Lepisosteus oculatus: one gene and its partner. The protein of the gene in region 1 interacts with the protein of each later gene in a biochemical or structural test. Links are inferred from orthologs where the notes say so. Each region holds a gene or a part of one and is shown in the gene's direction. Other genes may lie near its edges.

Evidence for each region.
Region 2: the proteins of npr2 (region 1) and ventricular natriuretic peptide form a complex in vitro, tested with the Homo sapiens proteins (3 studies listed by BioGRID). The link is inferred for Lepisosteus oculatus from reciprocal best matches to the Homo sapiens genes NPR2 and NPPA.

The regions. Positions count from the first base shown.
Region 1 is NC_090698.1:29,193,999-29,202,342, reverse strand, and holds the start of npr2 (atrial natriuretic peptide receptor 2), read left to right. Parts: upstream 1-4,911; 5' UTR 4,912-5,199; coding exon 5,200-5,905; intron 5,906-8,344. UniProt on the Homo sapiens protein: Receptor for the C-type natriuretic peptide NPPC/CNP hormone. Has guanylate cyclase activity upon binding of its ligand. May play a role in the regulation of skeletal growth.
Region 2 is NC_090720.1:4,677,084-4,684,703, reverse strand, and holds ventricular natriuretic peptide, read left to right. Parts: upstream 1-4,646; 5' UTR 4,647-4,730; coding exon 4,731-4,844; intron 4,845-4,974; coding exon 4,975-5,278; intron 5,279-6,019; coding exon 6,020-6,048; 3' UTR 6,049-6,683; downstream 6,684-7,620. Other genes in the region: nppal (natriuretic peptide A-like), read left to right, coding at 1,135-1,218, 1,681-1,980.

The DNA.
Region 1 (8,344 bases):
GATTCTATGTGGCGCTTCTCTTTCTTTTCCGCCTGATCATTCCATTTACTTGAATCAACAATGCTGAGATCTGTACTCTGCTGAACAGTTTTCTTTTATAAATTTACAAAGATATTTAAATGTCTCCCGAGCTCTTAATACTGCTTTCTGGAAAAACATTTTGAAGCATAATGTAAAATGTAACATATTTTAGAATGCTCTGGAGCTTCCAGGGAGGAAAGGATGATTTCCAAACTGTCATCTATTTTTTCAGTCTTGCCCTTAGACAAGTGCTAGTAAGTTTTGTCTCTCTCTTCGATCCTTTCAACGCTAACCAGTGGAGATTCTATAAATGGAATGAGCATTTTTCTCATCAGAAAACTTTTTATTTTGTTAACCCAGAGCTCTTTCTGGAACCACAGTGCACTAGCTGATATTACATGTAGGGATTAATTCTAGTCCATCACAGGAAACACACACACACAATTTAGAGATGCCAGTTGACTTAGCCAGAATGTCCTTGGAAAGTGGAATGAAACCACCACCTGGTTTCAACATCTGCTGAAAACTTACACTGAACTCCACACAGAAGGTGCCCCAGTCCAGAACTCAACAGATTTTCCAAAAGATGTAAGGCAGCAGTGCTAACTGAAATGCCACTGTCCTAGAGAATGTTTATCATCTGTTTCTGAGGTTATATATGTTTAAGTATATTTTGAGTGGCAATGAAAAACATTCTGTCAGGACTAATGTAGCATTAACTGGGAATTGTGGGGGTGCTTATACTGTAGTGCTAGTGGGTACTGGTGGGTGTTAGTAGCATTAGAGTGAGAACTGTAGGAACTATTTTAGTATTAGTGGGGGTGAATATAGTGTTAGTAGGTAGTGCAGGAACTAATGCAGTGTTAGTGGGTACTGTGTTAGTGAGGGTGAAATGTTACTATGTAATGTGAGGACTAGTGTAGTGTTAGTGGGTTCTGTGGGTGAATATAGTATTAGTGTGTACTGTGAGGTGTGAGGACTAATGTAGTGTTAGTAGGTACTATGGAGTGAATATAGTGTTAGTGTGTACTATGGGGTGAATATAGTATAACTCCTGTATATCGTAGGGGTGAATAGTGTTAGTGGGTACTTTGAGGTGAATATAGCAAAATTACTAGTTGATGTGAATACTAAAGTAGTGGTAGTGGGTACTTTGGGGGTCATTATATTGTTAGTGGGTAGTGTGGAAACTAATCTACAGTAGTATCAGTGGGTCCTGTGGGGCTTGATAAAGTTTTAATCTGTACAAGGTTCAAGAAAATATTAGTGTTTGTGGGACTTCATACATTTTTACTATGATATAGAGGAAGATTTTATGAAGAGTTCACCAAACTCCACAGTCTTGAGTTTAGAAAAAAATCGACATGACAATAGTGATGGTGGTGCAATGTATAATACTTATACTTTAGTAAGAGAAGTATGTTGTTGATCTTTAAAATTCAATTCTAGTAAGAAAGTGTTATTCTACAGTAAAACAGCAGCATTTACCTTTTACAACTTTTACAGAAAGGAAAAGAATACAGAAAGAATATTGGAAAGCAAATCATGAGAGAATGATTGCATTGGGGTCAGTTAGATATGAAATTACTAGCTGATGGATAATTGCTTTCCAAAAATATACGTCTAAAGGTACTGAAGCACATTCACATGCATTCAGTGGCATACATGGCTTAATACTGGATCAAAAAGACTATTGGAAGACATTTCAGGACACATAAAAAGAACCTAGAAAACATCGGGAGATGGAAAGGAAAACAGTATTGTGATGAAGAACAAAAAAGAACAAGATGGCATGTCAAGATAGCGCGCTGCCTATCACCCAGCAACTCACAACTGGCAACCCACAAAAGCTAAACAGGTCAGTACCTGGATGGGAGACCTCCTGGGAAAAACTAGAAGAGATGTTAGTGGAGCCAGTTGGGGGCACTCACCCTGCCATTTATTTGGGTCCCGATGGCCCAGTATAGTGACAGGGACACTATATTGTAAGAAGGCACCATCCTTCAGATGAAACATTAAACCGGGGTCCTGACTCTCTGTAGTCTTTAAAACTCCCAGGGCATTTCTTGAAAAGAGAAGGGGTGTTACCCTGGTGTCCTGGCCAAATTTCCCATTGGCCTTTATCAATTATGATCTCCTAATAATCCCCATCTATGAATTGGCTTCATCGATCTGTTCTCCTCCCCACTGATAGCTGGTGTGGGGAGCATACTGGTGCACTATGGCTGCCTTTGCATCATCCAGGTGGGGCTGCACATTGGTGGTGGAGGGGAGTCCCCATTACCTGTAAAACACCTTGAGTGGAGTGTCCAGAAAAGTGCTATATAAGTGTAAGGCTATTATTATTATTATTTAGCTATACAGATACAGCAGCCAAAGAAAACTAAAAGTAAAGGTGTCTGTTTATACAAATAAACCAAATCTAAATATTTAAAGGTAATAAAAATACATTCAATTACTATTAAATGGTGCATTGGATTCAAGAAAAAAAATAATGATTGCTTGGTATCAAATTAAGGGACCCAGCTCAGTTTTGTAAATCAATAAATCTGAAATATAAAATAAACAACCAGTTGTTGAAACCTAATGGTATTTTCCCAAAGAAATAAGAGGCTATTAAATAGTGTATTGTGTTTAGTCCTCTATATTGCAGTTTTAGAAATGGATTGAAGAGTGAACAGAATAGTTCATGGTGTCAAAGAAATGACATGCACAAACGTAAAACATAACTAAAACTTTACAACTCTTCAGTTTCAAAGGAGGTGAGTATGAGGGTATTTATTCAGCTGTTCATAACCTTAAAGGCTTTGTCAAAGTCATCTTAAAAGACTACTTTAGGCAGACATTAAGCAAAATAAAAAATTAGATACATGGATAGCAAGATTATGAGGATAATTTGGAATAAAAATAAGATACATTTTTTTACAAGAATACATCATGGGTATTTGGACAACAAACCTAGCTACTGTATGTCTGCTGAAGCAGACCTTTAGGAAAACTTAAAAAAATGGCATAATGAAACCCTGAGAGTGATTTTCTTCTGAATTTTCAGATGAGCTAAGCAGGTTTAATGACCTCATCTTCCATCATAACTGTTTTGATCCTGAGGGGGCATCTCAGAGGCACACTGGTTAGCATTGTTGCCTTGCAGTACTGGGAACTTGGGTTCAGTCTGGGACCTGGAGTGCTATCTGTGTGGAGTTTGTATGGTCTCTGTATGGTTACTGGAAAACAATTAGCCCTGGAGCAAGTGAATGCGTGTTCGTGTCTGTCTGCCCTGTGATGGACTGGCATCTTGCCCAGGGTGTATCCTGCCTTGTGACCGTTGGTTGTCAGGACAGAATCTGTTCCTGCAACCCTGAATTGGACAAAGCAGTTAGAAAATGGATGAAAAGATGGAATTTTCTGAGGCAGGAGGACATTATTTTCACCAGTAGAGGGAGTCCTTTCATTAATAAATCTCCAAGTTGTCAGACAAAAGGAAAGAAAATACATCAGATTTGACTAAATCGCCTATTTATAGGGCTGACCTACTTGTAGGTCTTTTGAATCTTTATTTTAGTTAACATCAAACATCTAAAAAAAACTATATATACTTAATCTTTTTTATGTTTTAAAATTATATAATCTCCTTGCTCCATTGAGCGTGGGACTGCAGTTTTTCAAATTAAGTAGAATAATAGATTAGAAATAAAGATCAATTAAATCAATATTCACTAATAATCATGGTTGTTTAATTTTTTTCCCATAGAAACTGTATGAAAAAGACTGATAAGAGAGTTTGAAACAACACTTTTTCCATATATTTGACAAATGTCTCGCAATAGTTTTAGTTACCACATTATTAATAATAAAATACATGATCCTGGGAGGAGAGCTAAGATATTGTGACCTCTAATTATCTGTAGAAGTTAGTACCCCTCTCTATGAGCTAGATATTTTCTTCTTCTAGTAGGTAGCTGTGTCAGCATGTGTAGGCTGCAAGGGTAAAAGATAAAAGTTTATTCCATGCTGAAAGGGAAAAAAAGACACAACATTTCAAACGAATTATTTACAAGTAACACAATAACTACAAAAACCTCATTTAGAAGTGACAAAATACAGTAACATTTGTTTTGTATTCTTTCCCTTTTAAATGGGGGTTTCATGTTTTCCATTCTATTATTTAGTTCCTCTTAAAAGTATACCCCTTGATTATTTGTTACTCTAATATTGTATGTATTAGAGACACTGCAGTCCTTTCCCATATAACACAGATATTTCCATTCTGTTGTGATTTTCCATTATGATCTTACTAGTGATGGTATTCTTCATTTCATAGACATTATTTTGAAATAATATACAGTACATCAGAGAAAAGATGTTGAGGTTGAACAAGTTTAAATTGAGCCAGTTCTAATCTAGGAAGATGTGTGGAAAACAGGACATTGACCCAGATACTTTAGATACACAAAGCCATATACGAGGTCAGGACCCTCCTCAATAAGGAGCCCTAGGCATCCCACTGACATCTGAGGGGACAATTTTAAGTGTAATGGTAGAAAAGTTGTTTTAAAGTGATTGTAACTGTTGTGTACCCAACATCATTTTAATCTTTTTTAATCTTAACCTTTGTGCTCTGTTTTTTTCTGCTGCTCTTAATCAACAAAATTGAACAAAGGAACAACGCTTTATAAAGCACAAATTTAGTTAATTGTGAATCTGTAATATCCAAATCCTAATACTGTATCGCACTGAAAGTCAGTGTTATTTGTTTGACAGGCAGATGGCGCCACCAGCCCGTCTATGATTCACCTACACTGACGTGACGTTTTTTGGGGGCTGAGCTGCAGCTTTTACCGATGTTTTAAGTTGAAGTCATCTGGATGGATGCTATCACATACAAGAGAGGACCCGTGGAAGAGTAGCAAACGAAGTGATTCGGCTCGACATGAGACTGAAGTTAGCAACGGCCTGGAGAAAGAACTACATTAAAGGATTTATTAGGAAATTATAACAACATAATAAACCTGTGGATTATTATGATAATTATTTGGATTGATTTTTCTATATTTTACAGGGTTAAAATAATCATACATGCTTTGGTTGCGATATTTAAATCTCTGTTATCAGGTGTCTTTACTCGGTAAATTACTGTTAAGAAGCTTGAAATAGTTCATCTTCGTTGAATCCTTAGCAATGGGATACAAAATGAAGCTTGGATGTAGTTTTCTTTTAATGTTCATTTTTTCTCTGTTAAGCACTGGTAGAACAGATCTGGGAAAGAATATCACAGTGGCTGTGATGTTGCCTGATAATTATAGCAAGTACGCCTGGGCACTTCCAAGAGTCTTTCCAGCAATTCGTATGGCAAATGAAGAAATTCAGAAGAACGGCGGACTTCTGAGGGGGTACCACCTTAACCTCATGAACACCAGCACTGAAGATGAAGGTGGTGGCTGCTCTGAAACTCTTTCTCAGATAGTTGCTGTGGATATAAAACTCTACAACAACCCCGACGTTTTTTTCGGACCTGGTTGTGTGTACTCCGTCGCTTCGGTTGGGAGGTTTGCCACCCATTGGAAGATCCCCCTGATAACAGCATGGGCACCAGCCTTTGGGTTTGATCAGAAGGATCAGTTCAAAACTGTTGTAAGGACCGGGCCCTCAACCACGAAACTTGGAGAATTCGTTTATAATTTCCATTCATATTTTAACTGGACCTCCCGTGTAGTAATGATCTATCATGACTTGAGAAAGGATGACCGTCCTTATTATTTCCTATCCGAAGGCATTTATAGTATGTTGAAGAACGCAAACGTAACAATTTTTCCTCATCCCTACTCAGAAACACAAATCTATGATTACAAAGAAATTATTACATTCATTAAAGACAACGGAAGAAGTAAGTTTGGAGATATTTGCATGTACCCTATGCCTAAAATGCAGCACATTTTCAGTACAAGTAGATCTTTGAGATGTGACCTATAGTCTTTAATCGAGAGATGGGTAATCTGTTGAATACTAGGTTCACTTGAATTTATGTAATGTTTTCGGCATTGACGGTGCTAAATTTAACACAACTGTTAAATTGTTATTTCAAATCATACAAATAGGTAATTTCGATTCGCAGAATATTATTTAAAGTATAAACTTTGTGCAATATAATTTTGATGTTATGTTTAATTTTCTATACGTAGATTATATATAGAAGTTCCACTAAAACTATATATATGTTAAGAAAAAATTGCATCATAACGATGACTGCTGCAGTTAACAGAAAAGAGAAGAGATGTATTATTTGAGATGCATTTCTTACTCTATAGAAAAAACTATTTTAATGAAATTTCATGCTCTTCATTGTGACCACCTGTCTATGTCCTCTGGATCTTTGATCTTTCGGCCCTCCGGGCGAGTTATTTATGATGCCTTCTTTTGGCAAGAGCCAAGGGGGCTGAGAGACTCCAAACTCGCTGCGTCTGGATACATTTTTTCAAGTCTTCTATTATACAGGTGGGATTTTAGATGAAGCCAAAGCTAATTATTTAACTTGAACAGCGCAGTGGATTAAGTCAACGTTTCAATCACATTTTTAATTTTGATTGAGGATGTTTTACTAGACTTTATAGAATGAAGTATGCTGCACAAACGCATAAAAAGTAAAAGCATACAGCCTCCATGAAAGTACACGTTAATTATCCTACTTTAAACATTGTGGTAGAGAGAGCATTTTTTTGCTTCAGTTGCTGTACAATGTGTGGTAAACAGTTCGGTTTGCTAAACATGCTATCCATTTTTGAACATTAAAGTAATTTCATGATGAGTCAATGGATATTTACAAAAAACGATCACTTAGTGTTTACGAAATCGCACGTAGTATGTAGTGAATGATTAGCACAATACTGTTATTTAAAATGTAAGTCTTACGAATTTCTTTAAGCATTACAGACTGTGTGTAGGAATCAAACAGCCAGGAACGTACATACATACACAGTACTTACTCCCAAAGCACTCAGACTTTGAACATTTTATGGGGTAAAACAACTCGGGATCAGAAGGTTGGTGAGAGCCCTAACAGATTTATGTAATGAATACAGTATCACAGTCTGCGGGGAGTTCCTCGTTTCCCTTTAGTTTGCGTTGTAAGACAAAGGTCACGAAAAACTAATATTTTGCTAAAGCATTAATCTTACACAGCAAAAAGTTAAGTAATATATAACTTCACTCTTCAGAACGCCTCTGTCATATTATAAGTATAGGTTTCAGACTACCTTTAATCAGAAAAGTGGGGAGGTTGTTAAATATCTGAAATTTCACCTTCCCCTTTTCGGTTTTTGTTTTGCCTTTCTGCAGATTGGTGTTATATAATGTTTCAACGGATTTACACTGATCGTTTGTGTGGACATGAATTCTTAAACTACTCCAGTAAATCCTAGTAACCAACAGATAAAAGTCGTGCATTTTTCCTACGTAGTCCCAATGTTCCCAAATTAGGCCTATATGAATTAATTGAAAACACTTTTACATAGTGATGACATAGCACCTTAAATACCAAAGAAGCGGTACAGTGAGAGCCGCAACAATATCGCTGTTTATTTCTGACTTTTAAATGTATACTGTATGTGTTATACAGAGCACTGCACGTGCAATTTCTCACATGATTATGCAGATGTATTGCAAATTATTACCACATACCTGGTCACAGCATAAGTAAAGAAGATGCAATTATGTAATTCATCCTAGCAAAATAAAGTCGTACTCAAGCCGTACATAGTGCTCACTTCGTTTTAAAAGATAAATCATTGATGAAGAAACTGATTTAAACTTGTTTAAAATAAATTACAGCCATTAATGTATATAAAACAATTGGACGATTGAAAGGTTGATGTAACAATTCTAGTAGATGTGCAGATGTCAGTTTGAAGTATACTTTACACCTTTTTCAAATTTCAAGGTATACCTACTGTCTCTGAGAGTACTGCATTTTGAAACTAGCTTAACATGGAATCAAATACATTTGTTGAAAGTATGTGATCTGCTTCATACTTGTTGAAGATAAAGGCTAACAGCATGTACTGTATAATAACTCATTTCAGTTTGGGGGTTCAGACATCAGATATATGATGAATATATTTAATTGCATTAACATGTAAAGCTATTTTGTAAAAGCCCATAATTATATACACTACAAATAAAATTTTACACACTAAACCTTAAAAAAATATTATTACATAATTTGTTTTACATAATTGGGTTTGACTATTTTTTCAAATGGAGCTTACTAAAAAACACTTTTCTGAAGTGTTGTTTATTTGGGACATCACTGCTAATATACAAAGAAACA
Region 2 (7,620 bases), on another chromosome or scaffold:
ATAAGTAAAAAGCAGTTATAAGCAATGCAGTGATAATGATTACAAACCACCTGATCTGTCTGTGATCAGACCATGAAACGGAGCAGCCAGCTCTACAGACTGGCACAGCATGCACCAAAACTTTAGTGACAATTTAGGAACACCAAATATGTATTCATATTACAGTACCAGTTGCCATGCAGCAAAATGCATAAAAATAATAAGGCAATTCAACCAGGTGTTTCACATATCCAAGGTGTTGATATATTCTAAATTAATTTGCTAAAGCCAGGTGATCAGTTGTTGTACCTTTAGCCTCCTAAATGCTGATTGCACAACTTTTGAGTCAACAGCTAACCTACATTCATGTCCAGCTGTAACTAACAGGACATTTTATTTGATTTTCAACAGGTTATTTATTGTTTTCAAATCAAAGTATCATGATGGAAACAAAGTCAGAACTTCAGAATCAAGAAACTAAATAATGTACATTAAATATTTGCCTTTGTTTGTATTTTACAATTATATTAGTCACAATATGAGCAGCATTGTGCATTATATATTCCAAATCAATAACTGTTAATTAGTATTAGTATTAAATTAATACTGAACGTGATCTATTGTTATTCACGGAAAAAATGTTCAAAAAAGAAACAAAAACGTTTAGACAGCATTGAAGAATTTAAACATAATCGATATTTTTTGTTGATTAATAGAGATAACTTTATATACGTTATCTATTATATTGCCTTGAAATGGGTTGGCGTCAAGTATCTTTCACTTTTGTTGGTATTTTCTTCAAGTAGCGGTAGTTTCTAACTACAGCAATCACCGTAATTAAGGATTACACATCCTTCGTATCACGATTGATTGCTGTTTTCACAGGTTATTAAAATAGAGTAATGGGTATTATCTATCAGCAAGGTAGTAGTCCTTCAGAGATTCTGAAAACGACAAGCCCACTTTTCCTTTTAACTCGGACATTTAATTGGAATCGCACAGGTCTCGGTGACGACATTCACGAGCAATATAAAAGCCGAGGACCGGCATAGGAGAGCGAAGAGAAACTTGCCGAAGCTCACGGTAATAAAACTCCGGTAAATCTGATAAAAGGAAAAAGAAATAAAAGAAAAAAAAACAAACTGAATTTCAAGAATGATGACAAAAGTCAGCATTTACTGCGCTGTACTGGTGCTGCTTCTAAACCAGATTGGAGCTAAACCGGTGTCCCACCTGCAGGTAAGACTTTTAGAGTTTGTGGATTTAAGAGTACTTTGCTGACACTGATTCCAAGCGTATAGACTGTATTGATTCCTTTCAGTTAGATCAAGCTACTATTTAAAACCTTGCTCAAATTAGAAATAAAACATCCTTGTTATAGCATCAACAATGTGAAATAAAGCGTCTTTATTTAATTTCTTTTCCATATGAAAATCTCGTGGTGTTACCTTTAGAATTTAAACACCAACCTACTGTACAGCATTGCAAATGTGTCTGTAGGACCTTACATTCAGAAATTCGTTGTTCTGGATTCGTGTGAAGGTTGAGAAGGAACTTTTCTGTTATTCCCTCTTGTGAAAGGCAATTAATTCCTGTATAATAACGAGCAAGGCCAATGGCTTGGGCATTCGTAAGGCGAGCACCTGCTCTTCTGCGTGTCAGGGCTCCTTAACAGTTTGTGTTGTTGGGGTTTTTTTTCAGACCCTTACGCAGCTCTTGGAAGAGGAACGGAATCCACCTTATCCCGCCTCAGAAGAGGCTGAGGGAGAAGGAGACCTGACAGCAGAAAATGGTGCCTACAACACGGCATCAGAATTGCCGTGGAACCAAAACTCAAGGGATCTCGAGCAGTCTGCGAACGAGGACCTGATGCTGCGCCTCTTCAGCGATATTCTGACATCCTCCAAGAGATCGTGGAGGAGGATGAAGAAAGGGAGCCTGAGGAGCTGCTTCGGAGTCCGGCTGGAAAGGATCGGCTCCACAAGCGGACTGGGGTGCTAACCAGGCCGGTAAGCTAAAAATAACAACAGCTATTTTCAAATGGAATGCCCATTTACTATTTGTTCGTTGATAAATTTTAAATCGGACCGAGTGCAGAAAACGCATATTACAGCGACATACAGTATGTTTTCTACGATGTAGTCTCCATGAGACACAGCGCGCAGGATTTAAGGCGCAAAGCGAAAACGTGAAAGTCTGCTCAAGTGAGAAAGCTACAGCATACCGTATCAAGCCAAGTGTTGATTAGATTAACAAGGTGTCATTTTATTTCAAAACCAGGAGGCTAGGCTGTTGTGTGCAAGAACAATCTTAACTCGTGCGTTCGTTCGTGCGCAAAGTTAGACTTGCAAGCCTGGTTGTGCGTGATGAGAATAGAAGTTCACAGAGCGGCTCAGTGCTGTCCTGCTCTCGCACTCACGGATGGGTATGTTTTCTTTCTTTCCAGGTTTTGCCGAGCCCAAGGAGTAAACTCGGGAAAGTCACCTTACACAATGGACGTTCTTCTACTCATTCCAGAAAGAATGACCTGAAAGTTTACAGCAGTATTTATTATGAAAGTATTTAATAAAGATGTAATGTGTTTGTTTTCAATTGAATTGTTCTAGTTTAGAGATGTATATATTTTAAATGAAGCTATTAGGCTATGAAGTCTATTAATATTGTTTTAACTATTTATTCTTCTTGTACAAAATACCTTGAAATATCTATGGAATTGCATAAAAACAAAATAAATATTTTGCTTAGTAAGTAAATGGTGAATTCTGTTTGTCATTTCGAAACGTGCATTTTCTGCATTTGGCTCAACGAATTGTTTACCTTCTAAAAACGAAGTGAATGTCTTCACCAAGTAAATAGATTCACCGATGAAACTTCAAACTTATGTTTTCCTTAAAGACACTACCAGGGAAATGGCTCCATGCTGTGGAAGGTTTCTGTTATTCATTTTCACAAGGTTCTCTTTTTAAATGAATGAAAAATAACACGGAAAAGATACTAGTACTAATTTCAAGTTTGGAAACCATTGGGGACACTGTGTGACAGCAGTATTTTATTGGTACTTCTGTTATGTCAGTGTGCGTCATATTGGACTGAAATTGAAATCGAAGCTCTTGTGCTACAGTGACATCTTTACACCTTGGAGCGACAGTACCTGCCATGTTCGTAGCATTACAACAGCTATATAGTGGGACGTTTACATCATTTATAGAGCTAAAAACACAACAGCTATTTTCAAACACAATCACTCTCTGAATGGCAGTCCCCTATGTGACTGCTTTCCGTGCCATTTATTTTGTGCAAAAGCGCTTAGTTCTTCAAGAAGGTTGGCGCTTTTTAATAAAGCCTTTGGAGAAATGAACTTTAAAAGTGCTGTTGTCATTTGAGCATATGTATGTTTCAAGACATGATTAATGTCTTATCGCAAATACAGTGAAGAAAACAGTGGTCCATCAACAGTGGTCAAATTGTAAAGCCATACACCTATTACACGACGGGATGAGGAAGTTTGTAAAGGCAAATACACATGTATTTTTAAATCTATTTATTTACATAAAGAGCCCACTTTTCTGATATGGTCTATTCTGTTTGGAATCAACTGATATTTACGCACACACACAGAGTAAAGGTTGACTTGAAGCCTTCAAGTTCAATTGAAGAGAAGGAGTCTGTTACTGATTTTCATCTTACAGTATACCACACTAAAGAAAGAGCACATAGGCCACAACAACGACTCGACAGGAGATGTGTAGCCTACAGCGCCAGCGGTCTCAGAGCATTCAAAACCAGTTACCTGATGACAGAACATCGTGTATTATTCTCCAACATATTCATATCACTTAACACGCACTGGTCCGCTGCAAATCTATTATTTTACAGTAATTAAGAAAGTAATACTACTTTACAGCCATACCTTATACACGATCGACAGTTTCAGTCGGTTTCACTGAATATTAATATTAATAATAATAATAATAATAATAATAATAATAATAATAATAGCTTACACTCATATAGCGCTTTTCTGGACACTCCACTCAAAGCGCTTTACAGGTAATGGGGACTCCCCTCCACCACCACCAATGTGCAGCATCCACCACCAAATGAATAACAAATGCATTTGACGGCTCGTTACATGCAAATAACTTTAAAACGTGTTTCCTGTATCCCAGCGTGACAAGAGGGGCTTATAAAAGAAACACTTCAGTTTCTTTCAAGAAACCACATAACTACAGTACAGTACTATCCAAAACTCTATGTGAAGTCGAGATATTCAGAATACAGCTGTATTACAGTTTCTACTAAAATAGTTTGGAGTTTGGAGGCGCAGTTTGTTCAACGTGTACTCTTGAACCATACATTTTAAAACCATTTCAAGTAGGAATCGTGAAAATGCGTTATCGACGCATAAATAAAAACATTTACAAAAATGGTCAGCTGCGCCTTTTACCTGTGACAACAGAAATTACGCGCGGACCGGATGGTCTTCAATGTGCTCTTTGGAGTAGTTCAGCTCTAAGACTCCACCAAATATTATCTTAAAAGGCAGTCACGCCTTAGCTGAAACTAGAGCACTTATCAAGTTGGACGTGATGGAATGTCAAGTTGATTTCTGTCATAACAAGCGGTTTATCACAGATGCCGACAGCGCGGTCCGGGTATATATTAAAGGCGCACCTTCCGAATAACCACGTTGTAGACGCATTTCATACGCAGCGTTCAAGAAGTCTCACGAATTCCGAATCTGAAAAGGAATGGCAAAGTTAGACGTTTACTGTTCCTTTTTAATTTTGTTGATAATATACAATGCAGCAAGGGCAAGCACTTTGTTCAATAGGTACAGCACCCAAGATCTCGACACTCTGAAGGTAAGAGCTCCATGCCAAAAGTAAACTCGAATCTTAAATGTTTCCTACTTCTCAGCTGTTAGAAACCAGCTGATAATACTGTAGTGGGGAGAACTGTCTTAATTTTTTTTCTTGTACTTTTTCAATACAGGACATAATTGAGCGACTAGAAGAGAAACTGACCCCCAGTGAAGAAAATGAACTCTACCCCGGATCAGAAGAACTAAGTATGGATTCAGGCGAAGACGCTCTTGTTTCTCCGGGGATTCTTCGACAGCAAGAGGAAAATCTGTTGCTGAATCCTAACAGATTAATCCAAGAAAATTCGCCAAGATCCCGACTCCGAGATTTGGCTGGTTTGGCGAGGACCACTAAGTCTTTCGGTGGTTGTTTTGGAAATAGAGTTGACAGAATTGGTTCCTGGAGTGGATTAGGATGCAACAGCTCCAAATTTGGTACATATTCCTTACATTCAGTTTCTCTTAAGAAATCTAGTCACGAAGAGGTGCTGTTTGTACGATCAGACATATCTTAAATCACTAATAGTAACACATTTCAATATTACAATGTGTTGGGTAACGCAAAATGCACAGTCCGACACTCCAGTGCTTTAACAATCTGTGCGTAAAACCGCCCATCTTCACTGAAGGTCTAATACATTTTGTATCCTTTTAATAAGAAGAAAGTACCGTTCTTATTAAAACGTCTCTACTGTATGTACTGAAGTTGCATTGCAATATAATCTGAAGCAACCTGTAAAATATTTGAACACGTGTCTGCAGAATGCTTATGTTACTCAGCTAAAAACATAGAGTTTATATGAATGATTCTGGGTCTTAATTGTAAGCATATTTCGTTAGTTTTTACTGTATAGTTAGAAACACAACATCATTTGTAACAACCACTGCTTGTAAACCTATGGTGTCTTCATAACAAAGTCACCAAAGAAACACAGCATTATCAGTAAATATGGTTCCAACGTATAACTACAACTGACATCTGACAGACTCTTTAACTACACATTTTTAGAGTGGGGGATATTCGGTTTTGTAATTACACATTGTATGAGAATATTCGACAGTACATAGGATTTGTGCTATTATTCTATAGTAATCAATATAAGCAGTAGGTCATTTCACTAGACTGTAATTTTACCTATTCAACTTCCTAAAAAAGCGTATTTTTTCCCCCGCCAGGTACCAAGAAGAGAATATTCGGCAACTGAGCTTCACGCCCTGTACAGACTCGGCACAGAGGATCAACTCGATAGTCACCAGATGTCAAACTCCACTTGGAATTGAAAAAAAGAAAAAAATAATTGAAGAAAACGCCCACAAACATTTTATACAGCTAGACAACCAAGCAGAAGAAGGCCTGTTGGAGATTTTTGTAGCCTCAGAAATCTGTAATTTCGTACTCTATCTCAGAGTGATTTCGAGGCTTAAATTATTTTTTGTTGGTAACGGAATAATTGGGGTACTCAATATAGTCAGGACTCCTTCAAATGGATCTGGGGTCGCGAATCAGAAATCAGGACACAGAAGAAAGCCAACCAGTAGATTGAGTAGCTGCACTTGTAGTTTACAATTAGTGACAGCGAGAAGTAATCTGGCCAAAACCGACAAAAGAAAATTATTTAATAGAAACAAGAGTATTGAAATACAGTTTAAGAAAGAATGTTACACCAAATCAGTTTTCTAAGAGTATCGTAAACACATGGCAATATATTTAGAATAGAGTTTTAACTCACATTCTATAATTTCCTGCTTCTTAATTCTGTTATATGCATATGTTGTTATTTGAATGTTTAGAACAAACGATGTTTTGGAAAATTATTTATAATAAAGAACGTTTAATTTACGTCTTGCTTGCATTGTGTAGTTCGTGACTAGATTAAAAATGCTTTGAGAGTGATCTGTTAGAGTTATTAGACTGGACAGTACCAATAATAAAAATGAGCCTTGGTGACCAGTTTTTGTGAGACACGTTCTGTATTTGATGAAGAACACTAAAAGATTCAGAAATATAATAGGGGACACTACCAAAACCAAAGTAAAGAAGTTATAGAATAGTTATTTTAAATAATGGTCATAGTTAAATAAGAATACAAACTTTGGGTAATTTCTGTTTTGAATTCATTGTTATATCTACCGTTACTTGAGCTCCTTGGTTTAATGCCTAGACATAATCCAAAGGTGAACATACAGTATAGAGTTTATACAGTATATGAACTTTACATAGTCAAAATCGCTATTTTCACAACGTAAATTAGATGAAAAAACTACATACATCTTGAATCAAAAGATTATGATCAAATTCCGTTAGAGTGATGTCATAAAAGGATAAACAAATCACCAAACGTCATGGATATCACATGTAACCGAAACCATTTGAACTTTTCTCTCCAAAGACAGCGTAAAGTTGTCTTAATGGTGCTTTTTGTATTTTATATGGCGTTTTGCACAAAATCCAAATCGCATCTTATGTAGATTAATTTACACAAAGTCTTTGCCCCCCCTTTTGGTTGCTAAGGAAATATAATATTAGCAGTTATATAATATTTCAATTTTAAACTATTCACTACATGGGCTTCAAACTCAATCTTGTGTTTTTTGGTTTTTACCTTCTCAGTTACAGAGTGGGTGTAATCATTTTAATTAAGTGTGTAATTGTAATACTCTGACCAGACTATAAGTGACTTATAGAGTAACTGTATCTCTAATGAAGTTTCCCGTGTATTCAACTGTAAAAGACCTTCAGAGAAATGCTGTGTTACATTTTGGTTAGGGATAGGTTA